4 linked regions of the Struthio camelus genome follow. The protein of the gene in region 1 interacts with the protein of each later gene in a biochemical or structural test. Links are inferred from orthologs where the notes say so. Each region holds a gene or a part of one and is shown in the gene's direction. Other genes may lie near its edges.

Region 1 (7,819 bases):
CGCCGGCCCCAGCTGGGAAGAGCAACACAAAACTCGCATCCCAACTTCCCTCTTCGCAGCGGCGGGCCTCCCTCCGGGCCACGAGACTGGTCCCCGGCGTCTGGTCGCAGGCAGGCGGCAAGGAGAGACCCCCGCGGGTAAATTGTCTAGTTATTAAATAAGGGCGGTACGTAGACGCCAGCTCTGAACAAACCAAAGGGGCTGAGTGACGGAAAAGCAACAAGCGTTTCAGGGGGGTTTCACCCGAGCATCCCGAGTCTCGGCGCTTGCGCCATCGCGTCGTCACATGCGCCTCTGTGCGAAGGGCCGCCTTGCAGTCCTAGAAGGAGCGGGGCGACTCCAACGCGCTTGCTCCCTAAAGCAGCAGCGTTTTCCTGGGATCAGACTCCTCCGGCATCACAGAATCACAGAGTGGTTTAGGTTGGAAGGGACCTCTGGAGACCATCTAGTCCAACCTCCCTGCTCAAGCAGGGTCCTCTAGAGCATATTGTCCAGGATCACATCCAGACGGGTTTTGAATATCTCCAGGGAAGGAGACTCCACCACCTCTCTGGGGAACCTGTTCCAATGCTCTGTCACCCTCACAGTGAAGAAGTTTTTTCTCAGGTTCAGGTGGAACTTCCTGTGGTTCAGTTTCTGCCCGTTGCCTCTTGTCCTGTTGCTGGGCACCACGGAGAAGAGGCTGGCCTCATCCTCTTGACACTCCCCCTTCAGATACTGGTACACGTTGATGAGATCCCCTCTCAGTCTTCTCTTCTCCAGGCTGAACAGGCCCAGCTCTCGCAGTCTTTCTTCCTAGGAGAGGTGCTCCAGCCCTCTAATCATCTTGGTAGCCCTCCGCTGGACTCTCTCCAGCAGTGCCATGTCTCTCTTGTCCTGGGGAGCCCAGAACTGGACACAGTACTCCAGGTGAGGCCTCACCAGGGCTGAGCAGAGGCACAGGATCACTTCCCTCGACCTGCTGGCAACACTCTGCCTAATGCACCCCAGCATACCATTGGCCTTCTTGGCCACAAGGGCACACTGCTGGCTCATGTTTAACTTGTTGTCCACCAGCACTCCCAGGTCCTTCTCGGCAGAGCTACTTTCCAGCAGGTCAGCCCCCAGCCTGTCCTGGTGCCTGGAGTTATTCCTGCCTAGGTGCAGGACCTTGCACTTGCCTTTGTTGAACTTCAGGAGGTTCCTCTCCACCCAGCTCTCCAGCCTGTCCACGTCCCTCTGAATGGCAGCACAGTCTTCTGCTGTGTCAGCCACTCCTCCCAGTCTAGTATCATCAGCAAACTTGCTGAGGGTGCACTCTGTCCCAGGGTGCATCGCCACAAACGAGCCAGGAAACGGGCAGTTCGGAGGAGGACGCGTGCCATTGGCAGAAGGGAGTAGTGGGCCGCTGTCTGAAGGACATCACAAGCAGTCTGTGCCTCTTGCATTGGCTCCAGGGCAGGCCAGGAGCTGGGGAAGGTAGTAACCGTTGACCGTCGGTTATAACGAGCTCCATTAGAAGTGCAATCAGTCCCGTCTCTCCTTGCCACAATTAACAGTGGCGGATAACGCGGCACGCCTCTCGGCAGCCGCGCATAAAGCTGAGCGTTAAGCAGCGAGGACGACCGAAATCAGACCTGAGATTGCATCCGTGAAGAATAAATGAGGCTCACTCTTCAGCAGAAGCCAAGCAAACTGATGCTCAGGATCAAGTCTAAAATAATTTTAAGAGCTGTAAAAAAGGAGCCTTTGGGGCAGGTCTGAAAGAGGGCTTGTAATTCTGCCTCTCTTAACCATGCACTAGACGGAGAGAGGCATCGCATCCATGCCCCGCTCTCTCTCCCTAGCCAAACAGCAGCCTTAACTGCTCCTTCCTTTTCTTCGGCACGGGCCAGGCAACCCTTCGCACCAGCCCTTGACCCTCCCAAGCAGACCTGAAGCGGTCAGCGCTAGTGCTCAAATACCTGGCGTTTACTTAGCATCTGCTGCAGGTGCGACGAGACGCCGAACGCGGCACCGTGGAAAAAATTCGCCTGCCCGGCCCGTGGCGCGGGGACGCCGCAGAGCGCGGCTGCTGCGTGGAGGACCGCTTCCCTTTGCCCTTGCAGCTGCTGCCTCTCCTGCCGGGGACAGTATTTTCCACCAAGGCACTGAGGGCCAGTGACAAAGAAGGGGGTAAACAAAGCCCCGAGTGACGCCTGCCCGTTGGTGTGATCTCCAGCCCAGATAAGCCTGCCCCTAAATAGACTTGCCCTCCTCCCCTTCCGCAAGGCCAGCCCCTGAGATGTCCCCCACCGATTTCCGAACCAGTGCAACGTTCCAGCAAAAGGCCAGAAAAGGGGGAAAAAACCGCTGCCCTCGCTGTCGAATCACAGGCAGCACAAACCACTACTGAAGAATGACATTAAAATCCCATTAAAACAGCAGAAGCGTTCAGGAGCTCTGCACATACTGTGAAATATATATTTTTGGCACCTTTACTACTCTCTTTGGAAGCTGGAAGAGAAAACGGGATTCACCGGGATGCCTACAACACGAGCGATCGTATCTCTTGTCTCCAGTTTTACATGACGAATGAGCCTATCAAGTAAAACGCAGCGTCTACGAGACGCGAGGGAGAACAGCAGCTGCATGGTAACAAGAAACTAGAGTTTGTTCCAACCATCTAATCTCAGCAGCAGCAGCAGCTAAGAGCATTTAAGTCCTTCGGGCGAAGAGAAAACAGGCACCACGCACAAAAAACAGCAGTTCAAGTTCTCCTCCTGTCTTTTAACCAGAGAGACCTGATGGAGTTCGCTCCTAAAGGAGTAAGAAGATGCTGCCTTATGCCTTTCGGGAAGAAGACTGTGCTGCAGGACAGCTTGACAAAAGTCCATTTTAAAAGGTTCTTGCCCAAGGGTCTCCATTGAATGAGCGCGGTGTCGGCTGTAAACACCGCCTGGTGCCAACGGAGAGGAAACGGTCAAAGCTGTGATATCGTGCAAGGGTTACAGGACCTGAAAGTGAAACCAGCCTCTCTCTTTCCACCGTCAAAACAGAGCAAAGTGGAAACAAGCACAAAGCAACCCAGCTTACGACTTTCCGGGTCCGATCTTAAAAACAGCCTTGAGGCTTACAACTCATTTTCACTTGTTTCCTTTAATACACCAAAAGCTCTTTGCAAAAAGCCACAGCTGTTTCTGCAGAATATAATACCTCTCGCTAAATCGTTCTTCCCGGCGAGGCTAACCGAACGACGCAGCGGCCGTGGGCATCTCCCCGCTCGACAGCGATAACTGCACGGCGCCCCGGACAGGCTAAGACCACCGATAAATAGTATGAGAAGAGCCGTTTTGCGGCCGGTTGGCTTTCTACCGATGTTAGGCTTGATCTCAGGGGAGGAAAGAAAAAAGAGGAGGAGCCCTTTAGAAGGCCCATTATATGTTTAAAAAAAAAAAAAAAAAAAGCACAGCACGGAGATAACAAGATCGCGGTCAAACTAGCGGCCCTCTGACCTGCTTTAGCAACACAGCACGAGCAGCTAAAGCAAGACCGCGGCTTGGCAAACGCAACTATCTAGAGGATAACGGTTTTGCTCTACGCAGCGCCGCGACAAAAAAGAGCGCTCTGACTGCCGCTCCGATCGAGGTCGGCCAAATCCGCCCCGCAGCCAGCCCGCTTCGCGCCAACCACGCACAAGGCAGAAACTTCAGACGGGCACCGAGGCAACCCGCTCGCAACGCCGTCAGCGCTTTCCAGCTCCCGTCCTCTCAGGACGTTAAACCGCGAAAGAGGTTTCTGAAGGATTATCTCACGGCCGGGCGCAGAGCGCGCTCGGCGGAGGAGGGAACGCCACCAACACGACGCTCCCGAGGGCCGGCTAAGGGCAAACGGGGCGGCCAAAAAAACGCGCACGCTAAGGCGCGAACGCAGCGAAGGAGCGCGGTCTCCCTTCCAGGTGTTGCCACGCTTCCTAGGGTTGTTATTTGCCCAGAGAGACTTCTGCTCTCTCCTTGACAGCTCAGTGGCTGCTTCTCCCCGGCCCTTAGGGCGCAGCGAGGGCTGGCGGAGCGGCGGCCGAGCGCGGGGTTCGGAGCGGGAGCATCGCGCCGCGCTGGGGCCGCAAGGAAGGCAGGCGCTCCAGGAAAGCGAGAGCGGGGTTTCCTTCCCGGGGGTTATTCCGAGGAGAAACGCAAGCGTGAAAACGGCCTCGAAGCGTCCGAGGTCTCGGTGCCGCGACGTCTGGCCCGCCGCGGGGTGTATTTTGCCAAGGGTTATATGTTATAACTCGGAAATCCCGCGTCCCCTCGGGGTTCCCCGCCCCAAAAACCCGCCCGGATCTCCGCGCTGGGAAGCATCCGCGGCTCGGCAGCAGGAGGAGGAGGAGGAGGAGGGGGAGGAAGGCTCCGCCGCGCACACGCAGCCCCGCAGCGCTCTCCGCGGCCCAGGCCCCGCCGCCCCTCCCCGCCGTCCCCCACCTTTTCCTCGGGCTCCGGCGGCGGCGCCGCGCCGGGCTGGCGGCCGAGCCGCTGCCGCAGCTCGCTCATGCCGGCGCCGGGCTCCGCTCCGCGCCGCTCCGCGCCCGACTCCCCCCCGCCGCCGCCGCCGCCGCTGCTGCCGCCGCCGCCGCTGCCGCTACCGCCGCTGCTGCCGCCGCTGCGCCCGGCCGCGGCCGCCAGGGGGCGGGCGAGCGCAAGGCGCGCTCAGCCAATCGCCGCCGCGGGACGGCCCGCCCGCCCGAGGGGTGGGTGGGTGTGGCTTCTAGGCCCCGCCCATCACCCTCCCTCCTCCTCGGCTCCGCCCAGGTGTACCCGGATGTGCGCGCCGCTCCGCCGCGCGCCGCCATGATGGGTGGTGCCCGGTGACGGCAGACGGACCCTGGCGCCTCGCGTTCTATGTGCGTGTGTGTGTAACGCGCGCGTTGATTGGCTCTCGCCGGGGCAGCGGGACTAAGGGGAGGAGCGGCGCCGGGATTAGCCGGAGTCGGGGTGGGGGGAAGGGGGCGGGGCAGCGCGTGACGTGAGCGTGGATCGGGCCTCGCTGCAGGGAGCGCGGGTCGCGATTGGCGCCGCCCCGGAGGTGGGCGGGGCGGGGGGGCAGGGTATAAAAGCGGCGTTTGGCGGGCTGCGGCCTTTGGCGGCCGCTTACCTTTTCTGTTTGTGCGTGCGGGCGGGCCTCGTCGGTCGCTGCCGCTGCGAGGATGTTCGAGGCGCGGCTGGTGCAGGGCTCGGTGCTCAAGCGGGTGCTGGAGGCACTCAAGGACCTCATCACCGAGGCCTGCTGGGACCTGGGCTCGGGCGGCATCAGCCTGCAGAGCATGGACTCCTCGCACGTCTCCCTGGTGCAGCTCACGCTGCGCTCCGAGGGCTTCGACACCTACCGCTGCGACCGCAACATCGCCATGGGCGTCAACCTCGCCAGGTAGCGGCGGCCGCGGCCTGTCGGAGACTGGGGACGGGCTCGGCGCTGAGGGGAGCAGCCGTTAGGGCCCGTTGGTGGGGGCGGGGGGGCGGGGGGGCTCGGCGCTGAGGGGAGCAGCCGTTAGGGCCCGTTGGTGGGGGCGGGGGGGCGGGCTCGGCGCTGAGGGGAGCAGCCGTTAGGGCCCGTTGGTGGGGGCGGGGGGGCGGGCTCGGCGCTGAGGGGAGCAGCCGTTAGGGCCCGTTGGTGGGGGCGGGGGGGCGGGCTCGGCGCTGAGGGGAGCAGCCGCCGCCCCTCCCCCATTCTCCACAGAACGCTGGCGCCGTTTTTCGCCGCGCGCGCGGGGCCTGGCGGCGGCGGTGACGTCACTGCCGGCGCGCCGTGGCGGGAAAGCCGGGCGGGGAAGGGGCCTGGCAGGGCCCTGCCCGCCATGGCGTCTCCCCGGGTGGCCCTGCGTCCCCTCCGTCCCAAGAGACAGGGAGGCAGCGGGGGACAAGCCTGAGCTCGGCTCTTGTTAGCCGTCAGGGTGGCTGGAAGCGGGGGGGGGGGGGTCTGGCCTCCCAGGCCGAGGTGCGCAGCAGCATGTGCTGCCTTCCTGGCACTTGGCTGTCATCTAAAGGGTTCACTGCCCTTCTGAACTTGTGGGGTGTGCTGCAGGTGCTAAAGGTGAGGGTTTTGTGCCCGCAGAAGGGAGTAAAGGACTGCATAGAAATCATAATACAGGATTGTGTCAGGTGTTGCACTGGAGGCTAGTGGTTGTTTCTTAGACGACTTTTAACACTATAGAGTAGTGAGCCCATATTTTTGCCCTATCAGGCTGGGACCTTTTACGATCTAGTTTTCGTTCCCCTAGCATGTCAAAAATACTGAAATGTGCTGGAAACGAAGACATAATAACACTCAGAGCAGAAGACAATGCAGACACACTGGCTCTAGTGTTTGAAGCACCAAGTAAGTGTTATGTTTAGTAAATAATTTGCTCCTGTGATGTTTTTAGGTGATCTTCCTAAGTATGTGGTGATCTTCCTGTGTCTGGGTGGTGGGGCCAAGAAGAAATACTTCAGAAGCTGGAAGGCTCTCAAAAATGGGACTAAACAAGATGGATCCCGTTATCCTAACTGAGGTGTTTTTACTCCGGAAAAAATTTTGGGTAGAACTTAAATTGAGGATGATGGCTTTTTTAAACACTTTGTCGGACTAAGCTTTGTTTGTTTTAGATCAGGAAAAAGTGTCTGACTATGAGATGAAGCTAATGGATCTGGATGTGGAGCAACTTGGAATTCCAGTAAGTAGCGACAACTGAAGTGTAGTGACTACATCAAGCTTCTTGGTAGAAGTTTAATTGTGACACTTCCTTTGCAGGAGCAAGAATACAGTTGTGTAGTGAAGATGCCTTCTGCTGAGTTTGCACGCATCTGCAGAGATCTCAGCCACATTGGAGATGCAGTTGTCATCTCTTGTGCCAAAGATGGTGTGAAGTTTTCAGCTAATGGAGAGCTAGGAAATGGGAACATCAAACTGTCACAGACCAGTAATGTGGATAAAGAGGAAGAAGCTGTAAGTTGTGTTGATGGCTAGCTGTTGTTCTCAGGGTTAAGGTTTCTGCTAGTAACTTACTCTCTATGGTAGTGTCATAGGCCACCTACAGGTAGATAAAGATGGGTTGTTTTTCTCCACTTTGTAGAAGCGAGTCAACAAATCACTGCCAACTTTGGCCCCTTAGCCCTGGGGTCTGCCGTGCAGTGCTAAGCAGAACAGAGTGGGGAATAGTGCTGGCTGTTCTCTGCCTTTGCCTGAGGTGTCTAGGTCTGTGACACTGATTTATTTGACAAACTTGGGGGAGCTTGTGGCTTGTGTTAATTGAACTCTAACCTGGCTGATGTTCTCCTAGGTTACAATAGAGATGAATGAGCCTGTCCAATTAACCTTTGCTTTGAGGTATTTGAACTTTTTTACCAAAGCCACTCCACTGTCACCTACAGTCACACTCAGCATGTCTGCAGATGTTCCTCTTGGTAAGTAGAAGCAGCTCTTCTGGGAAGTAACCCTGTAGAGCACTGTCCTCTTAGAACTATGTTAAGAGGGCTTGATTGGCTTTTTCTGAACTATTTTCTGAATATTTTTTCCAGTTGTGGAGTACAAGATTGCTGACATGGGACACTTAAAATACTATCTGGCTCCAAAGATTGAAGATCAACAAGAAGGTTCTTAATTGGGCTGGGAGATCTGCTCAGCTCTTTGGAGAAGACAACTGACTTTGTGAAGGAAATTGTCCGCACAGTTCAGCAGTTTCAGTACATTGGACCGTCAAATGAGCACTGTTAGGCCTGTTTTGTAGATACTTTTGTAAATATTTTTCAGCTTACTGTTTTGCTATACTGGTGTCATTCAAAATAGGAATTTTTGCTCTTCTAGATTATTCCTGTTCCTCCAATAGTCTTTA
Region 2 (7,552 bases), on another chromosome or scaffold:
CCCGGTCTCACATCCCTGGCGCTGACGGAGGCTGCAGCGCAACTTCCCACCTTGCTCCTGGCTCACAGCGCTGGAACTCAAAGATGCTGTTGTTTCTCCCCCTACCTCTTGGGAGAATGTTTTCGATGGGATTTTTCCCCCTCCTTAAAAAAGGACATTTCACTGTGAACTAGCAAAACCTGTTCTGGACGCACACACAGAACTGTTCACCCTCTGCGGCATTTGCAAGCAGGATTTTTTTTTGCAGGATACTATCTCGGCTCTCTCCTGCGTGTGGGCGCCTGGCAGCCTCACCCAGGGAACATGTAGACCCACAAGAATCAGATAAGTCAGGCCTTCCTAAAGGCAGGAGCTCAGGACCAAGCCCTCTTCACCGCCTGCAGCACCACCCTGCTTTGTCCGGGTCTGGAGGAGGCCGAACTGGCAGCCTCTTCTCGCTGGGAGGCAAGGGGGAAAATCCCACACCCAGAGCTGCAGCAACAGAGAGGTTCTGAGAGGGTCCTCACAGGCCTTGGTCCTGGCTACGTTTTCCTTCAATCAACAACAGACATGGAATTAACTGCAACATTTTAGGAAAAATCTTCCACATGTTCGGGTTTGGCAGCACCTAATACCTTTAAGAGAGCCAAAAAATAACTAATCCTCCTTCTCCTTCAGCCAAGGAGCCCAAGAGTGGGACTGGTGGAAGGAGGGGGAAGAAGAGTGAAAAGGGAAAGAGGAGGAGGAGAATGCAGGAAAATGGTAGAACTGGGACCAATCGCTCCCAGATCGCAGAAAAAGAATCTCTAAAGCTCAGATACTTCTGCGTCCCAGCCCCCAGGATGCTCCAAAGGAGCCAGCAGTGTCTGTCCTCTGATAGCAGACTGCCCTTCTCTACTTCCCCGCAAAGCATGCAATTCACTTCTGCAATGGTACCGTGAATATTGGCAGCAAGCCTCGCGTTAAACGCAATTTCTTCAGATTAAATCAGTTTCCAAAACCCTGCAGCAGCACGAGCTGCAAAAGAACTCAAGGTGCAATTGCACCTACACCTTATCTCCCACTTTTTAGTAATGCCCTTGAACATAGTGTTCAAATAAAGCATGTGCGTACACACACAATATACAAACAGGCCACTAAGTCAGAATATTTGGGCTACATCTCACCAAAGAGCTGCATGGGGTTTAATTTTTCCACGAGCAACTAGAACGGTTCCTTTCAAAAAGTTACATATGGAACAGAAAAACACCTGCAAAGGCCACCTGTGATTTACCTCAGTTTAAAATAATTCTCCTGGTGAAAAGTTTCAGCAGATGTTTTAGGATGACGCACTCGGACTTCAGAATCACGTTACTTTTGACTCACAGATGAGCTTTCACCTCTAATTGCCCTGCTACGACAACACAGCAGATCTGCACAAGTAAAATCCTCCAACAATGAATTTTCAGTGCAATCTTTCCCTTGGAAGTTGTAAAAAACTAGATGCAGGGGATTGCTTTTCTGTCGCAAGAAAAGGGATGGGGGAACGACTTAAGGAATTTATTATTTTGCTTTGCTGCTTAAGCAAAATGCTTTTACATGAATTACAGCCAAGAAAGGAGGCAACACACGTAGCAAACATATTTGGACCAAGCTTGGAAGTGTTGAAACATTACGCCTGGAAAACACACAGAGCCAATTGGTAGATCAGTGCAAAACTCATCTGTCTTAAATTTAAAACAGGGGCACAAAGTGCTTGTGAACTGCATTAGAGGCCAATCCCCCCGCGTTCAGCTGGAGAACTTCAGCCCACCGCCAAGCTGTGAGGAGCCATACCTAAGATGTACTTTTTACGAAGACGTAAACACGCTTTTTAGTTCAGGAGCGTCACTTTGAACTATCAATTAAGGAAGATTTTAAATGGCTTCGTTTGGCTAATAAATTACTAAAAAATTGCACCTCTGACAGTTTTTCCAGAATCGCCAGGCCTCCATTTCCTGTGCAGCGCATACACAGGCTGAGAAGCTGGACACCCTCACCCTGCAAACCGCAAAATCCTTTCCCAGTCCCAATGTCAGCTACTATCAAGGAAGCGGGAACTTCCTGAGGTTAGGCTGCAGCTGCAATCTGCCGCTGCTCTCTGCCAGGCTGGGCTTAACGAGGGCCGGTGATCCCTAGCCAAGACCTCACCTTCCGGGCCTGAATTCTGCTCCGCTGCAGAATTTCAGCCTTTCCGTCTTTATTTTTTTGCTCCTGGAATCCATACACCGACTCGACGTTTAGTCCAAGAGCATCTCACCGCCTGCAGGCTCCTTGCCGCGCTGGTCCGTCGCCGCCCTCGCGCCCTGATGCCCACGGGACGGCTGCGGCTCGCTGGCGGCGAGGTTTGGGGCGCGGAACGAGCTCCCTCCGTCCCGGGGCCGCCGTCCCTTTCTGGCGACGAGGCGCAGCGCGTCCGCGCCGTCGACCCGGAGAGAGGACTTCAAGCGTCGCTAGAAAGCGGCGGTGGCGGCCGACCCGGCGTCATCCCGAGCCCGGGACCCGCCGGTGCGACAGGAACAACCGCGTCTCCTGCCAGCTCGGCCCAGGGCTCGGGCAACCTCGGAGGGCGACGAGCGGCCCAAGCCGGGAGGCTCCGCCATCTCGCTGCGCCGGCGGCCCTCGGCCTCCTCGGGACGCGGGAGGGGCCCCGCCGGTGGCACCGAGCTGGCAGTGACAGAACCGGCACCGGACCCCGGTAGCGGGGAGGGTGTGGGGGGGGGGGAACGGGCACCGGTCCGGGATGGGAGTAACGGCGCGTTGTCAGAGGGAGCGGTACCGCCACCGGACGGCGATACCGGGGGGGGGGGCACCGGGGAATAACGGCTGGCACCAAGCTGGAGGACACGAAACCGGCAAGGAGGGCACCGGGGGGGGGTGACGGCGGGAAACGGGGCAGCACCGAAGCACGGCAGCGGGGGGGGGGGGCAGCGCGCCGGGAGGGCTGAAGGCGGCGCGGGGGCAGCGGCAGGGCGCTCACCTGGCTCGCCTTGTAGAACTGCTTCTTCAGCCCCGCCACCGACATGCTGCCGCCTCGGCCGGCCGCGCACGGACACAGCGGGCGGCGGACGCCTGGCGCGCAGCTTCCGCCGCCGCCGCCGCCGCCGCCGCGGGACCCGACCCGCCACCACTGCGCCCCCTGCCGGCCTGGCGGGGCGCCGCCACCGCCGCCGCCACCGAGAGGCGCGCGGCTAGAGCGCCGCCCTGCTGCTCGGCGGGCAGCCGCGGCGCCCCCTGCCGGCGCGGGCGGCGCAGGCCGCGAGGGAGGCGCCCCCGGGAGGAGGGGAAGGAGGTTGTGTCGCGATAGTGCCGCCCCGTCGGCTACGGTTTCCGGCCCGGCGCAGCGACGCCTTCGCCGCGGCGACGCTTCCGCGCTCTGACCGCCGCCTCAGCGGCTCCGCTCTTACCTGGCGGCGGGAGCGTCGTGGCAGCTCCGCGGTCCAGCGTAACTCTCCGCAGGAGACGGGCACAAGCCGCCTGCGCGGGAGGCAGCGCTTTCTCAGCCGCTGGTGCAAAACAGCTCTCTCCGGACCCGTAACCGGTTCCGCTCCCGCCCTGAGTGCCCTGCTACGGACCACGGGGCGCGTTTATAAACCTAAAGTGAAAAAAATACCTTCAGCGACGGAAGCGTGAAGGGTCAACTCCTACAACTGCCAGAGCGAGGCACCGCAGGGCGCTCGCTCCGTCCCTAAGGAGGGGGGACAACGCCAGCCCGCGAGCGCCATGGGGCCCGCAGCCCTCCCGACCAGGAGGGAGCTGCTCCCGGGGAGGCGCGGCGGGCAGGCTGGGCGGGGGCCGCGTCCCCAGCAGGCCCGTGGCGGGGCGCTGCGTCCCACGCCGCCTGGGGCAGGGCAGCACGGGGGGTCAGGGGGCGGCGGGCCGAGGCCTGGGAGCGAGGGCCCGTGTGGGGACAGTGTGGGGACAAGCTGTGCCCCCCTTCCCGCCCGCCCCCCCCCCCAAGGGCTGCCATAGCGCTGGGAGAGGCAAAGGGGCGACTACAACTCCCAGGAGGCTCTCCGCCTCGCAGCCGCCGCCGAACTACAACTCCCAGAGGCCCTTGCGGCAGCGTCTTCGCGCCCTCCTCCCACACCCCCGCGCGGAGGGGGCTCGCGCCGGGAAGGCGCTCGCTCATTGGCTGCCGCCGCCGCCATTTCGCGGTTTGGCTCGCGCCCCCTTGACGGCGCGGCGCGGCGGCCGGGTCTTTCCCGCTGCCCGGCGCTGCGGAATGGCCGCTCCGACCTCTCCGGAGCTTTCCCCCGGGACCGCATCGCCGCTGTCTCGGCTCCCGCTCGCTGAGCAACGAGGCCTCGAGGCCAGGCGTGAAGAGCCAGCTGGAGCCTCCCTCAGCCAGCCAATCAGCTCTGCGTAGCGGGCCAGACTGACAGCAGCCTGCGCCAATCAGCTGCGGCTATCCCGCTGGCCAATCGGAAGGCAGCGAAGGCGGGCAAGCGCCGGGCCTCCCTCCGCCGGGCGAGGCGGCGTTCTCGCGAGACTTGGGCGGCGGGCGCGGGGGCGGAGCGGGCGGAAGGGCGCGTCACGTGGGGCGCGCTCCGCCTATCGGCGCGGTGAGGCGCGGGGTCGCCCCGGCTCCCGCCAAATACGAGCGGGTCCCGCTCGGGCGGGGCGAGAGGGGACCGGGCCGGGCTGTTGCCGCTGCCGCCGGCGGAGGGAGCGGCGGGCGCCGCCGCCCCCGCCCATGGCAGGTAGGGGGGGCTGCGGGGCCCCCGGGCGGCGCCCTCGGCTCCGCCGGCCCGCTGCGGTTCCCGGCGGGTGCGCTGAGGCCTCCTGCGGTAACAAAGGGAGGCGCCGGGCCTGGTCCCGCCGCCGCTGCGGCCCGGTGGCCGCTGTCCCCCGCTCGCTGCCGCCGCTGCTACTCGGGGGGTGGCCAGGCCCTCTCAGGGCGCCGGGTCGCGGCTGGGCTTTGTGTGGCCGAGAGGTCCCGACTGCCCTGCGTGTTGGGGAGGGGCGTCGGGGCCGCTGTGGCCCGGCTGCCCCTGGGGAGCAGGTGACTAAGCAGAAACCTGTCACTGGTGTTTTTTTTTCCTTGCAGCCATGGAGTGTCGAGGCAAAGCGGTTGTTCCCCCACGGAAGCTTGTGCAAGGTAAGGCTCTGGAGCAGGTGTCTAGCACCCAGTGCGGTCTTAGTGCTTTAAAACGTGTCAGGCCTGAACTTGTACAATAGATTGTGTTTGCGATAATAAACTCTTCCCTTCTAGCTCATCAGTTTCTCTTCTTGTGTTTAAGAACTAGGTGAATATTGCAGTGTTTGTGTCCCTTCCCCCCCCTCCCCCCATGGGTTTATATGATGTGACTAAAATAGCGAAATGTTATTGTTTCAGCCCGGCTGCCTTTCAAGCGCTTGAATCCTGTACCAAAGGAAAAATATGATGCGGATTCAGAAGTCAAAAAAGTAAAGAGCTCACAAAGCAGTTTTGGACAAAACAAGGATTCCTCTCTCGATACGTCATGTGCGTCCCTGGACAATGTGGAGAATGACTGCCAGTTGGATGCAGATGTGAATTTTACTCCAAAACTTGTTAACGGAAAGGGTCCGTTAGATCACTTTATACAGAAAAACACAAAACATAACACAAATGACACTGTAATCATTATTGACCTGACAAAGGACTCTAGCCATAGACTGAGTGATGATGTGGACCATGCTAATTTAGATTCAGAAGCATCTTCATCTGTAGGTATAACTAATGGCATGCTAGAAAAAGATATAAACCAGTCGAGTTGCATGAATTCTAGTCAGAATAGCCCAATGGATGATTCAATGGAGACTGCACCGTGTGAAGCTGCGGCAAATAAAGATGAAGTTTTGGTAGGTGGAAGCCAGTCTTGTTCTGGGTTACCAGAGTGTAACAACTTGGAGAAAACAAAGATAAATCAGAGTGAACTGAAGGATGTCATATTTGAGGGGAAGATGCCTGTAGTGCTCCTGGAGGATATTATGACTGCCAAGTCTCCTCAAGTTGCTTCTCTGGATGGAAGCATCACATCAGAAAATGAGACTCTGGAATCATCCCGCGAAGGAGACTCTCTACTTACTAATTCCTCCTTAAGTTCTCACTCTGTGAGCTCACCTGAGGCACAGCCTGCTGCAGAAACAAAGAGAAACTGTAGTCCTTTAGCTGTCTCCACGCCTATTAGGAAGGTTGGTCTCTCTTCTTGGGTTGTTTTCTAAATATTATTTCATTAGAGTAGGGAGTATAGTAGGTAATAAGGCTTTCTGAGCTCACAGTGGAAAGGATGACTAGGATATTCACAAAGCTCATGGGAAGAGTCTGGAGAGCGTTGCCAACTTATTCATATAGTAACTGAACTATTACCCTTTTGAATCCTTTAAACTGTTTACCTAAAATATTTAAATCTTGCTCTTTTGAGCTGCTGGTAAGTTCGCGTAGTGTCAATGTAACTTTAAGTTCTATTATAGATTCATGCTTATAAATTGATGATGAAGTGCATGCCTCGTGACTTATCATTTTGGTAGTTAGCGCGTGGACAGTGTTCAAAAGCAGTTTTGTCTGTAAGTGATGTTTTACAACCTCCATTCTGTACTTCACGAGGCCGTTCCAGTTACTATGACAGAACGCTAATTGGAAGCGTAGCCTAGTCACTTCTAGCACAAGTCGGTGCGGATACTTCTCAAGTTCCGTGTTTCTGAAACCGGGGGGTAGAAAACAATGCTTTAAGCGAAGCTGCAGTGCCTTGAGGACCTGTAAGTTGGCAGTTGAGGACAGAGGACAAGTCAAATGAGTCTTTATCTGCTTCTCAGAATTAAGGGTACAAAACTTGTGCTGTCAGCCATCTTGATAGGTGTGCACCATTTGACATGGGCAGTTGCTTTAGGGGAAAAGTCAGGGTGTGTTCAGCGCTCCTGGGGTCATGTGATGCTTTTGGCCAGCGAAGGTTGGAGCACAAGGATGAACACCTCTAAAGCCATAGCTCTGCATGAGCTGGTGGTTTGGAATCTGAATTAGTTTCAATTTAGTGTCTCGGCTCTATGGAGAAAGTGATGAAAGCGTTGTGACTTTTGGCCCTGTACTGCAAGGGGAACTCTTAAATTAAAGAGGGCATTATCTGCGCAGATGGCTGAAAGGATCACATGACTTGAACGGTTGAGAAGTGAATAGGCTTTTCCAGAATATATCCGTTGAGATGTAAAGTGGGAGTTTCTCTTGCAGCAGGCACAATAACCTCATCCTTAAAGGCGTGGGGTAGAGCAGTCCTGGTGAATGGGCTTGGACACTCTAGGCAAGCCTGGCCTAGACTTAGTCCGGACTATTTGGCCTGTGTATTTGTTTTGCCCTAACTACATTATTAGAGGGGAAAATCAGGAAAGTGGATATTGCCCTGTGAGAGTCTGAAAACGACATATGTGGCTTGAGTAAATGAGGGTGAAGAGATGGAGCAAATTAGTAGAATAGGAAAGTATACGTGCTGAGCAGGGGTGGAACTGCTCCTGGGTTTGCGCTCGCCAGTTATGTCTTCTGGCGAGAATTGCTTTCTGCTGTTTTGAGCCTTTTGAGAAAGCTTTTCATCAGCTATCC
Region 3 (6,913 bases), on another chromosome or scaffold:
GTGTGAGTAAAAAGTTGTACTTCAGGTTAATAGCTTCTGGTTTTCTAATATAATATGTTTCCCTGTGATGTGTCGCATCCTGTGATGTTGCTCTGAAATCTGGAAAAAATGTGTGAAAACAACAGAGAAATTGTTTTCAAAAGAAAACACTACAAATCTACTGTAGCCAGCTAGACTGGCATTAAGCAGGTTCTTTAGCTTGTACGGCAGCAAATTTTTCTGCACACAAGGGGCTCGATCAAGCCCCATGTCCTGTGGCTCAGTGATGCTGGGCATGCAGCATGCACAACTGCTTGGTAAAATTTGGCCCAGTGCAGATAACCCATGCACTAGGCAAATTCTGAGATTTCTGTGGAGCGTGGACTTTCTTCTGGCCACAGCACAGGACACAATTTTACTCATGCTGCTTGGATTCAACTAACTGTCCATTGGCCACCTAAAAAATAGGTGTGTGGTTTAAGCTACGTGTCTATGTTGCCTCCAAATCACATTCACTATAGGGTGAGATGACTTCCCCTTTGGATGTAGACCTTGGGGATTAAGTTTAAGAGATGGTCTGGACCAGCGCACATTCCCAAGGTCATACTATTATCTTTTTGCATGGGGCATGTGCAAACAATGCATAACTGCCTCAAGCACCGACCTTTCATTACTTTTTTTTCCTAGGTGGGTGTGGGTTTTAGGCAAAAGAAGAATTCTAGCTTTTACCCTAAGAGACTTTACCACATATATGGTATGTAAGGAAGCACTGTCGTTTCAAAGACAAGCCTACCCGGAGCAACTGGACTCCTGCCTTTGGCTTTCGTTGCAGTGTTACTGATTCAAGGTCCAAACGTTTACAGATTTCATCTTGTCTCAGTTACACCATCCTGTTTCTACCACAGACTTGATCGCCCAGCACCTTCCAGCTCTCGGTGAAGAGACTCCTCAGTTGGCTCCTGAAATTGGCAGCATAAAGCAGATTTAATGAAACACATTATTAAGCAACGAAGCAGTTTCGTGGCTTTTGAGCACCACCCACCTGGACACAACTTAATTACACTTGTTGTCTCATAGAAAAGAACCTCTGTAGAGCTGAGTGTTTGTGTATTTTAATTGCTGTGAACTTACAGCTGAGTTTACAAAGTGGAGTTAAATGTATATATGTCTGCATCGTACTGCAGAATTTAGGTCAGGAAGCAGCGGGGTCTGATACTTGATCTAGCTCTATGCACCCACATCACAAGATACACGGTACGCAGAGCTTTTTGGTATGCAGCTGTACCTCTGTAAAAGCAGCTCATGCTCCAAACCCTAGGAGTCCTACTTGCCCTTTCAGCGCAGAACAAGCCCTGCAGGAAGCCAGCTTCTCGCTGCAACAGAAACCCTATGGTATCTGCATGCCGGTGCCATGCAGGCTGGCAGACTTAGCAAGCTGTCAGGCATTTGGATGTATGCTAAATCCCATGACTTTCAATGGCAGCTCAGTATCGAACCAAATTTGGAGTTCTGTAAACCCCATGAGGCAAGTATACAAATCGTTAGGTCAAGACATACCTTGAGGATCTGAACCTTGCCTCCTGAGGTGAGGGGCCTGTGCTCGTGCAGGCATACAAGCATATTTTGCCCAGTAGGAAAATGCCAAATATGTGTTCCAAGAATGTATATGACTATCAGAGTGTATGGCAACGTCTATCATAATTCAAATCTGTGTTTAGGGATATTGATCTACAGTAATAATTAATTCATGTAGCAATTTTAACAAATCCAGACAGTTTGCAGAGAACTCTCTGAAATAAAATTGCTTTAAAAACCCTATCCAGATTAAGAGCTAGGCTTCCAATTTTCTTGTATCACTAACAGGTTTTACTCAACAAATGTCAAAGTTATACGTTGTTGCACAACAAATGTGTAACTTTTGATAACAAAAAACAAGCGCATAAATCTTGAGGGAACTGCTTGAAAAGAGGGGTGTAAAATATACTGGAATGTGGACAGGAGTCAGCTACTTGCTGGACTTTGGCCTGGAGGCCTTCCAGCTTTAAAGTGCTCAAATTTGGCGGTAACTATGCCCGAGGTGAAGGGATGCTAAGGCCTAGGATTGGGCATGGCCTCAAGTTGGTTATGAAACCAATCCTATTAAAACGTATTACTGAGTAACTTCGAAAATGCTTACAGAAGTTTTCCAATGGAGTCACAGACATACTTGCAACAAACAACTGTGTCTTGGCTTAACAGGCTTTTTAAAAAAATATAACTGTTACACCAATGCCTAAAAATTGTCACTACCATGCCGCCTCCTTAGTTCTCAAGATAAAAAACGAATCTTTAAAAGACTTCTGACACTTTGAGGCAATATTAAACTATGTAGGATCATAGTATATAGATTTGACATAGCTGGTTCATGTGGTATAAGAAATATTGATGACAGCAACATCTCCATCATGTTTCTCCCGTCTCACTCAGTAAGTCCTGTCATTGGATAGGAGTTGTGAAAAATATAAGACCTTATATGGAGTAAATAAGGAGCAATTTTCAGAGCCAGATGAATCTGTGAAATATAGAGGCTTGTAAGTAAAGGCAAGACCTCGTAATTCAGAGCAAGTGAAGCCACAATGAATTATTGAGGCCTTTTTTCATAAGCAGGATGATTCTGTGTTCCACAGATGTTCACTTTAAAATATTTTAAATCTAATGTCAGTCTTTCTTTTTATTACAAAAGGAAAGTGCCTATCTCTTCAGGTACGTAGAACTGTTTCTGTTCATAAACAGCATCTACTAATCGAGTTAAGGGGCCTATCTAAAATTTACTTTGCTACAATTTCAGAGACAAAGAGATGTATTTCATGACCTCTCATAATCTTGATTGCCAAAGATTCTTCTTCAAAACAAAAACATACCATTAGGCTGGGGGGGGGGGAAGAGGAGGACCAAAAAAAACCCTCCTAGCTTTTTTGTTAAGACAGTCTACTGAATCCATACTTGGAACACGTATCATGCACGTAATACACATATTTACTCCAACCGTCATCAGAATTGGTCACTCAGACCACGTTTTTAGGCACAGATTTTGCAGATTTCTTGTACTGCTCTACCTGCAAACCGCCTCTCTAGGGATGTGCAGCAGCAGAACAGGCTGATCTCTACTATTCTCCCCAAAACTGCCCAAACATGCTTTTGCCGGCATGTGGTGCCTACACTCAGGTCCTCGCAGCCATGACGAAGACTCTGACTGCCCGGATTCTTCACAGCCGCGCTACCCTAAATTTTCAGCACCGCCCTCACAGAACTAAGACAAGAATCCTTGGTTTATGAGTGAAAAAAGCTGGCGATAATTATCCTACGCACTTAGAAAATGAGCCCCCCTCCCCTCCCCGAACTGGCTCGAACCGGCCCGAACCGGCTGCCGCCGCCCCTCCCCCCGGGCGCGGCCGGCCAACGGCCGGCGGGCGCTGACGTCACCGCGCGCGCGGCCCTCCCCCCGGCGGCGGGAAGCCCCGGGGGCGGCGCTGCCAGGCACGGGGTTTCCCCGGCCGCGCCGCGGAGGCTCGCGCCCCACCCCTTTTCCCGCGCGGCCGTTACCTCGGGCCCGTTTGAACGGCGCGAGAGGCACGCTCAACCCCCGCCAGGCAGGGATTGGCCGCGCGCCGCTCGCTCTGATTGGCAGAGGCGGGAGGGGGCGGGGTCAGAGCGGGACCAATCCACTCCCCGCCTGGAGGTGGGGGGGGGGGGAGATCGTTCCGTGGGATGGTTTAGCCCAGCCTCCCCTCCTCCCCGCCCCCGCTCGCCTTCCACCTCGCAAGCCCGAGCCCTTTGGCCAGGCCGTTAGCAGCGCCCGCGCGCGCCCAGTCAGGACCCCGCGGGCTGCCCGCCGCGCTGCCTGACTGCGGGCGCGGCGGCGCGGCCCGTGCGCTGCCGGCGCGGCCCGTGCGCGGGTCCGGCCCGGCTGCCGCACGCCGCTGGGGCGCGGGCCGCTCGCGATCGCCATGGCCCCGCGGGCCTCGCGGGTGCCGGCGGCGGCTTCCGCTCCGGCGTTTGCGCGAGGCGGTTGCAAGCGCCTGGGCGCCAGGAGGGGTGAGGGCGCGGGTCCTGGCGCCGCGGAAAACGCGCCAAGTTTCCCGTTGTGGGGAGCGCGGCGCCGGGGCGCCCCGCGGTCTCCATAGCAACCGGGGAGGGGGTGTCCGGGGCAGCGCCCCCCGCCCGGCGGGCGCGCGGCAGGCGGCGGCGGCCGGGGCCGCGCGAAGATGTAGCGGGTGAGGAGGAGGCGGCGGCGCCCGCGGGGATCCGCTCCCGCCCGGCGGCGGGCTCGGGCCGCGGCTGCGGCTGCTGCCGCCGCCGCCGCCGCGCCGGGGCCAGGCTCGCCGGGCCGGGCCGGGTCGGGTCGGTCCGGGCTGGGGGCGGCGCGAGGGGCCTCCCGAGCGGGCCGGGGCGGCGGCGGCGTCCCGGGCCCCTGGGGGGACGGGCGGGCGGGGGCCGCTTCCCGCCGCGAAAGTCGGTAACGCTGTGTGTGTGTGTTTGACAGGTGTGACTGCCGCTCGCAGCTTTCTGTCCGGGCTGCTCTTATCCCCCCCTGCCCTTATTTGTTTGTGAGGGAGGAAAAATGCCAGGTGTGTTACCGAGTGACAGTAACGGGCTTTCGAGAGGGAGCCCGTCAAAGAAAAACAGGCTTTCATTGAAGCTTTTCCAAAAAAAGGAAGCGAAAAGAGCACTGGATTTTACAGAGTCACAAGAAAATGAACAAAAGAGCTCAGAATACAGAGGCTCTGAAATGTATGTAAGAGTTTCGTTTTGAATAAGAATTTCTGATTGTGATGTAGATCGATGTAAAAAATAATCCAATAATTCAGAGAGTTCTGTTTAATATAATGGATGAGCGATGGCTGTTCCATCCATCTGTTAAGTTTTATATTCTTGCTTCAATATGTTTTTCAACATGTATCATATAAACCCTAGACCCAGGTTAATCGGACTGAAATAACTCCTACTTGAGACCTCTAAGAAAACAAGTGAATCAACTTGCCTCACTATGAATGTTTAGTTGGCAAAAACTTTTTAATAACTTGAGGAAGTTACCCGTTATTTCACATTATTAGAAGGTAGTTATTCTGATGCATTATTTAAAAGGTAAAAAAAGTTTTGTTTTGTTTTGTTTTTTTGCAAAATTAGTTTTAGTGAAAAGTACTGGTTTTTAAAATGTTATTTCTGTTACAAGTAAAAGCATCATTTATGCTACTTACTAACTTTTATTAGGGTGTTTCAAGCCTTGAGTGAGTCTGTCAACTCATTTCGCTGCAAGTAGTGCAAAAGTTTTAATGGGAAAAAGAAAAATTGCCTCATCATGGCAGATTACAAATGCATTTAAGATAGTAAGATTTGGTCCTGTTTTACAAGTAACAGCACATTAACACTGATGTAATGTGCCAGGTTCCTCTCTTAGGTCTTTACCCTTTTGTTTTGTTTTCAGGAACTTATATGACATGAATCTGGAGTAGAGGTAGTAATAGGAAAATATGTGCTAGGCACATTTATCTTAGTGCTGCCTTAGGAGTAGACGAAGAGCATAAAAGAGCGTTCAAAAGACGAATGTTTTAGTTCCTTAAGTCAGTTTCCTGGTCTTGTTCAAAAAATATGTATTGGAACTAATGACAGATTTGCCTGCTTCTTGTAAACCTGTCTATTTCTGTGTATGTTGCTAGAAAGAAGTGTTTCAGTTGAGTGGGTCTGTCTTTGAGTGCATAGGGTAGCCATACTGAGCCTTCAGAAACAGTTTAACGCAATTTTGATTTATGTTTATTAGTCACTAATTTATAAGGTAACTCTGAAATGGTAGATGGCCAGGAGAGATAATTGCATGTGTACTAGAAAGGCTAATGTTTAAAAATTCTCTCTCATGTACTGTTTTCTCTATTTAATAGTGATCAGGTTGTTCCTGCAGCACAGCCTCCGTCACTCATTAGCTGTGAGAAAAAGGACACCATGTTGCCTTTTGTGGGCTTGAACAATCTAGGTAACACTTGTTACCTTAACAGCGTACTTCAGGTAAAGTCGTGTTCAGGGGCTTTTAAAAAAACAATTTTGTTTTGATTATGTACAAGCAGATGAGATTCCTAATTGGACATTATCTAGATGATGTCTAGATATTGTATAGAGGGAGTGTAATTACAGTGGAAAAAAAAGATGATACGGCAGGGAATATGTGCACCGTAGATTGCCTTGATTGAGTAATCTGTCAATTTACATACTCTGGCCACCTCCCTGCCATGAATAATTCTGTACCTTTGAGTGCTGTGCAGTAGCCTTAGGAGATGCAACGCTAGTTTGAGCTGAAGTGTGGATATATATTTTGAATAACTTCTTACTTTATCACCTGTTACCTTGTTTTAAACTGTTGCTTTCAGGTGTTATATTTCTGTCCTGGTTTTAAAACTGGAGTAAAGCATTTATATAATATCATTTCAAAGAAGAAAGAATCTTTGAAGGATGAAGGAGAGCAAAAATCAGAAAAGGTAATATTTCTCACGGCATGTTCTTTTACTTGCCGTTGTGCAAGTGAGGCTATATGCCAGGAGTATAATGTACATTTCACTGATTTCTTCTGTATTTATATGAAGACTTGCAGTATGGCTTTTGCAGTGCCATTTAATGTGAAGATACTGAATTGTTTTGGATTTATATTCAAATTTGATGCTGTTCCTCAGAGTTCCTGTAAAGCTTGAAAGCAGACGTCTTAGGTTTTTGAATTTCTATTAAACTTATCTCACCATATTTCTCACGTTAAGATAATTATGATACTCTTTGTAAGTGGATGGAAATTGCTGTTTGGCCAGAGATGGCTGTTTTGGGTTTTTAAAATGAGCAGTCTCCTGGGCTTTTGTATTTGTCTTCTGCTGGCAGAAGAGCAATATATTGACTGAGAATCACTTGTTTCCCAGAG
Region 4 (6,888 bases), on another chromosome or scaffold:
GGATGCCCACATGACTTATGCTATACCAGTTGAATCCTGCAGCTCCACACATTCTGAAATGTGACTAGATCAAAGTGTCATCCAAATGCTCCGTCATCTAGAGCTGGCGACTCTAGCTTCAAGAGGTCGGGGAGGGGGTCCTATTTTATTTATTACAGGAGTGCTGCTGGACAGGGAAAGGACAGAGCAAACATCTTGTTACTGGAATTGTGTGATAATTTTGTGAAGGGCAGCGCAGAGCTGAGGGGCTTTACCAGAGACATGTCTGGGGTACCTGGGAGTGGAAATCAGACAGGAGGAGGCACTCAGCTGTGTATACTGGCTGTGGTTGCTCAGTCCTTGCATGGCAGAGCCTAAAGCCAAGAGATGATACCTCCCCTGTGCCATCACTAGCCTGTCCTCTATGCCAGCCCACCCCGAGGGACTCTCAGCACTGGCAGTGCTGTCCTTACTGACTTCTTATTGGTGGTCCGGATGACACAGCAGCGCTGCTCCTTCTCCACGGAGACACTGTAAACTTCCTTGGGGTAGGGCAGGTTACGGATCCGCCACTGGAAGCTGGTCAGGGTATCCTTCCTCATGAAGACAGGCTGCAGCAAACAAGTACCTTTAGCAAGTCCCCTCCAGTTGTGTCTTCTCTTTTCCCTAGCCCTTCTTCCTGTACTATCTTGAGAGGTTTCACATGAGGCAGCCCTTCCTTCACACTCGAGCAGAGCAGGGAATAACTCAAACTGCCTGAGCATCAGTCTCCTAAAGCTGGCACTGCTATGGCACAGCCTTTACCCAGGGCACTCACTGCCTGCCCTGCCTGTAGGAGGCTGGGAATGTTCAACGAGGGGCTCTTGAACGACAGTGTTATGTGGAAACCGGGCCTCTTCCCCTACCCTAGGGACCTGCTGCACTTGGTCCTGGCTGTGTCCCAGTTTGCTGTGCAGGGCTGTGCTTGTGTTTCAGATTAGAGACTAACAGCCTTGCAAGCTGTTGGGATGAGAAGCTGATACAGGCAGTGCTATGCACTGCAGGTGTCATGTTCTCATGGTCACTGCCTCTGCTTTCCATCCACTGACTTGTCCAGGCACTGGCCTTCCTTTGAGGCTATTTTTTGGAAGCCAAAACAGGAGCTAGCCAACACAGCAACGTAGACAGTTTCTCTACTTAAGGAAACTCCAAAGCTCTTGAAGACTGCAAACAAACTAAACTGTGCCCTTTCTGCTCAGCCCCACACCTATGGGATGAGCACTAGGCCAGCTAAGGCTGCCTCTTGGGGCTATGAGTGATCTGCAGTCTACGAACTACTACTGTAAGCACGAGGCTAGGTTTCTAGGCGGAGCGGTGCCTGCAGACCCTTTACATACATTGGAGCTGCTTTCCTTTATGAGCTCTGATTCCAGTGTTCCCACGAGAGGTGAGGTTGGCTCTCCCACCTCAACCTGCCACTTGCCGGAGCCCCCTAAAGCATTCTTCTCTCGCCATTTTCTACCTGTGGAAAGGAGAAGGAGGGTTTTCATTATTCTGTTCCATAAAAAGTACTCCAGAAAATAGCCAACAAAATTGCCCAGCCCATTGAGATGATATGCCTTTTCCCTTAATTCCAGTCATTTCCACTTAGGTGTAAGTCGATCAGTTAGCTGGCCAGCTCCTAAAGTCAGAAAATCAGCACTGAGTCTCTCTCTTTTGTTAGTCGGTGCTGAACCCACAGAGGGCTTGCAGCAGGTGCCACACTGCAGTTGATGTGGTTTTGGGTAAGACCCAAACTGACATCTTGCCTGCTTGCGGTTGCAGAAGTTGTCAAAAAGCATACTTCACCCCAGCGCGTGCTACAGACCGAGAGGGCAATCCCTTTCGGTCCCTTCAAGCCTGTTGTGACAGAGTGGATGTTTAGGAGAGATCCTGGGTTAAAATAAGGTCTGCTATGCCCTGGAAGGGAGAGACCTCTGGGTCCAAGCTGGACCTTATTTACATCCCTACAAATTTCAGGGGCGCTAAAGGCAGAATTGTCTTCTGGGCCATTTGGGAGCAACTTTTTTCTAACCAGGAGGTCCCTCGGGAGATTACCCCAGGCTGGCGAGCGCAGACCTGCTGCCGCACGCACGCACTGGTGCCACTCGCCTCGCTCTGCTACGCCTGGGGCAGCTGGGGGCCAGCCGAGCGCGTCACTTACTCACTAACTGACCCGTCTGCACGTCGTACTCTTCAGCCATCTCTTTGCCATCCTCAAACAGGTAGTGGACCTTCTTCTTCCCTAGAGGCAAAGTGGGCGGTGAGGGTGGGAGGCAGACGGAGCCCCTTCTCGGAGGCCCTGTCCCTGGGTTTACGACCCTGTCCCCAGATGTATGACCCTGCCCCCCCCTCCAGTCTGGGGCCCTGTCCCCTGTTCAGGGGCCCTGTGCCCCCCTGCCCCAGTCTGGGGCCCTGTCCCCTGTTCAGGGGCCCTGTCCCACCCTGTCCCCTGTTCAGGGGCCCTGTCCTGCCCCCCACCCCCAGTCTGGGGCCCTGTCCCCTTTCAGGGGCCCTGTCCCACCCTGTCCCCTGTTCAGGGGCCCTGTCCCACCCCCCCTCCCAGTCTGGGGCCCTGTCCCGCCCCCCACCCCCAGTCTGGGGCCCTGTCCCCTTTCAGGGGCCCTGTCCCGCCCCCACCCCAGTCTGGGGCCCTGTCCCCTGTTCAGGGGCCCTGTCCCACCCTGTCCCCTGTTCAGGGGCCCTGTCCTGCCCCCCACCCCCAGTCTGGGGCCCTGTCCCCTGTTCAGGGGCCCTGTCCCCTGTTCAGGGGCCCTGTCCCACCCCCACCCCAGTCTGGAGCCCTGTCCCCTTTCAGGGGCCCTGTCCCACCCCCACCCCCAGTCTGGGGCCCTGTCCCCTTTCAGGGGCCCTGTCCCCCCCCCCCACCCCAGTCTGGGGCCCTGTCCCCTGTTCAGGGGCCCTGTCCCCCCCCACCCCAGTCTGGGGCCCTGTCCCCTGTTCAGGGGCCCTGTCCCCCCCCACCCCAGTCTGGGGCCCTGTCCCCTGTTCAGGGGCCATGTCGTCGTCCCCCCCCCACCCCCACCCCAGTCTGGGGCCCTGTCCCCCGCTCAAGGACCCTCTCCCCGGTTGCATGGCCGCGGGCTCGCAGGGCCCCAAGCCGCTGCCCGCCAGCGCCCCCCTCCCGCCCAGCCCCGCTGCGCTCCCGGAGGGCCGCCCCGGGCCGCCGGTTACCGTCCTGCACCAGCGCGGTCTTGCGGGCGGCCCGCAGCCTCTCCAGCCAGCTCGGCACCGCCATGGCGGCCGCCCGCCGTCGCCATGGCAGCGCGCGCGCTTCCGCCCGCTGCCGGAAGCGCCGCCATCGCGGGCCGGGCCGGGCCCGCCGGTGAGAGGGGTGGCGGGGGGCCTGGAGTGACGGGGGGAACCTGTCGGGCTGGCCCGGGCGGCCTTTGCGACTTTCTGCCTCCAGCTGGAGGCGGGCTGGGGGTTTCTTGCCGCTGCTGCGGCCTGAGGCCCCGGTGATGGCGGCGGCGGCTGCCCGCGCCCGGTGGCGAGGGGTGTTTCCCTCCCTAAAACACCCGTGGGAAATGAAGCTTTTGGCCGGGCAGGAAGGAGCTCCTCGTCGTTAACAGAGCGTTGCCTCTGTGCTGCGAGCACCTGCTGCTCGTGGTTTCCAGGGCCCTCGAGCAGGCTCGTCTTAAGTGGCTCCTTAGCGGTTTCTGCCGGGGGTCCTGCGCCCTCCCTTCCAGGTGTTTCCCCCGGGGCGCGCGCGCCTTGGCGAGGCAGCACGGAGAAGGCCCCGCGCCGGCCGGGCCTGCGAGCCGAATGAGCGGAGCCTGGCTTGGGGTGCTTGCCTGATACTGTGCCGAGCAACCTTCCTCTTCCTTAGCGGTGTTCGGCGTTCGCAGCGTTACCCTCCCGCGGGGAAGCGACGCGCAGCCCATGGAGCCGCGGGGGATCGTCAAGGCCTTTCCCAAGAGGAAGAAGGTGAGGGATGACTCGGGGAAAAGCATCCCTCCAAAGATCACCAAAGAGGAAGGAGCAGGGGTACCTGAGGGTAAGTGCAGTCTGCCCGTCATGCGTATACAGTGCTCATCTCCCAGCTTGTTAACTGGAGATGTGTTTCTCCCAGAGGCTTTTTCTGGCCCAGGTGCTTTTCCTGTAGAGGCCGCGACTGGCAAGGTTTGGTGTGTCCAGCCACAGGCCTGCAGCTGGTGGCCCCCAAAGATTGCCTGCCGCGGTTGATCCCAAGGAGTCCCGCATGAGAGAGGTAGCCTGACTGGTTTGGGACACTCTTTCTCTCACACTGACCTCCTGCCCTGTGTTTTTCCTCAGCAGAGTGGCTGAAACCAGTCACTGCCTATGTGTTGCGAGCTGGCATTGGCCAAGCCAGGGCAGAGATCTTCCACAAGCAAATTGTCCAGAATGGGGGTCGGGTCCACGCCCACCTCTCCTCGGAGGTGACGCACGTCATAGTGGCTGAAGACATGGACTGTGATCGTGCCTTTCGGCTCCTTAAGTTACCCAAGCTACCTTCAGGGTTGCAGCTAGTGAAGGCATCCTGGCTAAGTGCTTGCATTAGAGACCAGAAGCTGCTGAGTACCACTGGCTACAGTGTCTTTATCCCTTGCAGGTATGCAAATCCTAGGCTGTCGTTCTCCCCCACAGTGCCTCTATTCCAAGCTGAGCTGCACTGGTATTTCACCTCTGCTCAAGATCTTAGACTGAAACTCATTGCAGGTCCCTTGGGCATGGCTCAAAGTCATTTCCCCCTGTATAGTTCATGAAATTTAGTCGCTTTGTGACTAGTTACTGGTCTGTGGGATAGCAGAACTTGGAATAGAGCCCGGAAATGCTACCAGGAGTACTGTTGCTTGCTACAGGTGCTCAAGGCAGCTCTTCCTAATCCATCAGTGATAGCAAGGAGGTTTTTTTTTTAGAAATGTTGAGAATTAAATGCTGTTTTTGCTTATTGCAGATGAAAAATAGAGAGAGAACTGACTACTAGGCACGCAAGGAAACACAAACGGAGCAGCAGGCAGCTGCAGGTTAGGATCAAAATGTATTGGCAGAGCTTTGGAGGAAGAGTCTAAGACTAAGGTAGATAGGAGTGAAAGGTGCAGGTCAACGAAGAGAATGGAGACTGGGAGACTGAGCCAAGACCGAAGTAATGAATCTGTGATCTGAGAGAGCAAAATTCTTGTTGGTTGTTTGCTCCGTCCCTAAAAATTGCAGAAGGATTTCCTAGTCAAACATCTGGGGGCTGAGAAGTCTTCCTGCTCTTATGCTCTACTCTTATGCTACCTCTTATGGCAGGTACCTGGAGGAGGGAGAACTGCAAAAACAGCAGCAGCAGAAGCTCCTGGCTAGCAAAGAGATCCAGCCCCAGTCAGGGGACGGAGCTGTGAAACCAAAGGCTGAAGCACGCTTGGGAGATTCCTTGCCGCAAACCCTGGGCATCCTTGGACAGCAGCAGCCAGCTGAGGTGAGGCTTCCAGCACAGGTCATTCTTGTGAATGGGTCCTGCATACTGCTTTTCTTGGCTAAGAGCATCCCTGCAGGGCTATGATGCCAGAAAACATCAGGAAAGCGAAGGCGTTTGGCTATTTCAGTGGATTGGTGCTGGCAGATTTGGGCTGTGGACGTAGTTACTGCTTCTCTTTGTTCCTTTTAGGTGTTAAAAGTGGAAAAAACACCCCTTAAATTCCTGTCTCCATCAAAACATTTCCAGCAGAAGCAGTCCTGGTGCTTTGATCAGGCCAAGGCTCACTCTGGTGATCATGTTTCCTCTGCCTCCTTTTGGGGAATATTCCCTGGCCGAGAATATCTCCCTTTCAGGAAACTCTGATGTTTCATTCTGTGTTCCTGCTTGAGCCATACTGACCCATTCTCCACTTCTTGGCAAGCACCCCATTCAGACACATGTGCAATAGATCAGGTTGCCACTCAAATGATTGTGTGTTGTGCTTAAAATATCCATGCTGGGTTATTAATGGCCTCTGCTGTGAGTCGCCTTCTCCAGACCCGACCTTAGCTATCTTTTCTTTTTCTGCATTTTGCTCGTTTGCTGTTTTTTTTTTTTTTTTGGCGTTGGCATCGTCCAGATCTATCTGTAGCAAAGTTACTCCAGACCTCTGGGAGCCACAGCCATCTCATAGTGCTCTGATGCCAAGTTTGCCTGCACACTCCAAAATCACAGTTGCCAATTCTGTTTCATAAAACCCTGCAGCTCCTGCCTAGCTGGCAGCCCACTGAGGGCTCCTTTGTTTTGGGCTTTCCCCTTCTCTTGAATGTGTATGTGGGGAGCGCCTTCTCAGACTTACTATCCAGTGTGTTATAGACAGAATTGGCTGCTGCTTTCTAATCTCTTCATCAGCTTTGCTGTTAGCCCATCTTTATTGTTTCTTGTAACTCTGGTTAATTTAATGGCAGTCTTTATTAACGAATCTCACCCTTAACTGAAGGAAAGGGCTTTTGTACTCTTATGGATCCCGTGGCAGCTGCCTTGCTTTCTGCTCACGTTTACTTTAGTGATCAGACAGCAGTTAGAGTCTGTTTGAAACCGTATTGCTTTTTTTTCTTTTAAATTGCTTCAAACGATGATATTTTCTGTGGTTAATCTGTGCCCAGAACCATCTGCAGACTGGAGAAAAATCTCTTGGCTCAAGCTTTGGACTAGGTTAGTTTGGGGAGGAGAGGAGAATCCATTGGACATACTTTAAAGACAGTGCCAAGTACTTTTAAGACCTAGCTCTAACAGAAAAGCTGAAGCTGAACTCTTAGGTTGGAAATAGCCTCCATTTAAGCACAGCGTCCTTTCTAGCTTGGGCGAATGTTCTTCTCTAGGGCATGGTGAGTGTTCCAGTATTTTATACCGGACAAGGGCTGCTCCGGGAGGTCCTGTGTTTGGATGTGAGCTCTCTGTGAGGG

The links.
Region 2: the proteins of PCNA (region 1) and CHAF1A form a complex in vitro, tested with the Homo sapiens proteins (4 studies listed by BioGRID and IntAct). The link is inferred for Struthio camelus from reciprocal best matches to the Homo sapiens genes PCNA and CHAF1A.
Region 3: of the proteins of PCNA (region 1) and USP1, one has a biochemical effect on the other in vitro, tested with the Homo sapiens proteins (6 studies listed by BioGRID, with this or other methods). The link is inferred for Struthio camelus from reciprocal best matches to the Homo sapiens genes PCNA and USP1.
Region 4: the proteins of PCNA (region 1) and POLL form a complex in vitro, tested with the Homo sapiens proteins (3 studies listed by BioGRID). The link is inferred for Struthio camelus from reciprocal best matches to the Homo sapiens genes PCNA and POLL.

The regions. Positions count from the first base shown.
Region 1 is NC_090968.1:2,625,769-2,633,587, reverse strand, and holds the start of PCNA (proliferating cell nuclear antigen), read left to right. Parts: upstream 1-4,804; 5' UTR 4,805-5,158; coding exon 5,159-5,379; intron 5,380-6,229; coding exon 6,230-6,327; intron 6,328-6,593; coding exon 6,594-6,661; intron 6,662-6,738; coding exon 6,739-6,933; intron 6,934-7,267; coding exon 7,268-7,391; intron 7,392-7,505; coding exon 7,506-7,588; 3' UTR 7,589-7,819. Other genes in the region: CDS2 (phosphatidate cytidylyltransferase 2), read right to left, coding at 4,437-4,505. UniProt on the Homo sapiens protein: Auxiliary protein of DNA polymerase delta and epsilon, is involved in the control of eukaryotic DNA replication by increasing the polymerase's processibility during elongation of the leading strand.
Region 2 is NC_090967.1:4,459,035-4,466,586, forward strand, and holds the start of CHAF1A (chromatin assembly factor 1 subunit A), read left to right. Parts: upstream 1-4,534; 5' UTR 4,535-4,693; coding exon 4,694-4,700; intron 4,701-5,047; coding exon 5,048-5,098; intron 5,099-5,335; coding exon 5,336-6,156; intron 6,157-7,552. Other genes in the region: SH3GL1 (endophilin-A2), read right to left, coding at 2,978-3,022. UniProt on the Homo sapiens protein: Acts as a component of the histone chaperone complex chromatin assembly factor 1 (CAF-1), which assembles histone octamers onto DNA during replication and repair.
Region 3 is NC_090949.1:35,396,029-35,402,941, forward strand, and holds the start of USP1 (ubiquitin carboxyl-terminal hydrolase 1), read left to right. Parts: upstream 1-3,901; 5' UTR 3,902-4,053; exon of another isoform or gene 4,054-4,232; intron 4,233-4,501; 5' UTR 4,502-4,579; coding exon 4,580-4,749; intron 4,750-5,894; coding exon 5,895-6,018; intron 6,019-6,377; coding exon 6,378-6,485; intron 6,486-6,913. UniProt on the Homo sapiens protein: Negative regulator of DNA damage repair which specifically deubiquitinates monoubiquitinated FANCD2. Also involved in PCNA-mediated translesion synthesis (TLS) by deubiquitinating monoubiquitinated PCNA.
Region 4 is NC_090948.1:16,303,807-16,310,694, reverse strand, and holds the start of POLL (DNA polymerase lambda), read left to right. Parts: upstream 1-3,900; coding exon 3,901-4,015; exon of another isoform or gene 4,016-4,261; intron 4,262-4,293; coding exon 4,294-4,591; intron 4,592-5,274; coding exon 5,275-5,443; intron 5,444-6,888. Other genes in the region: protein DPCD, read right to left, coding at 457-590, 1,356-1,480, 2,174-2,242, 3,193-3,364, 3,813-3,902.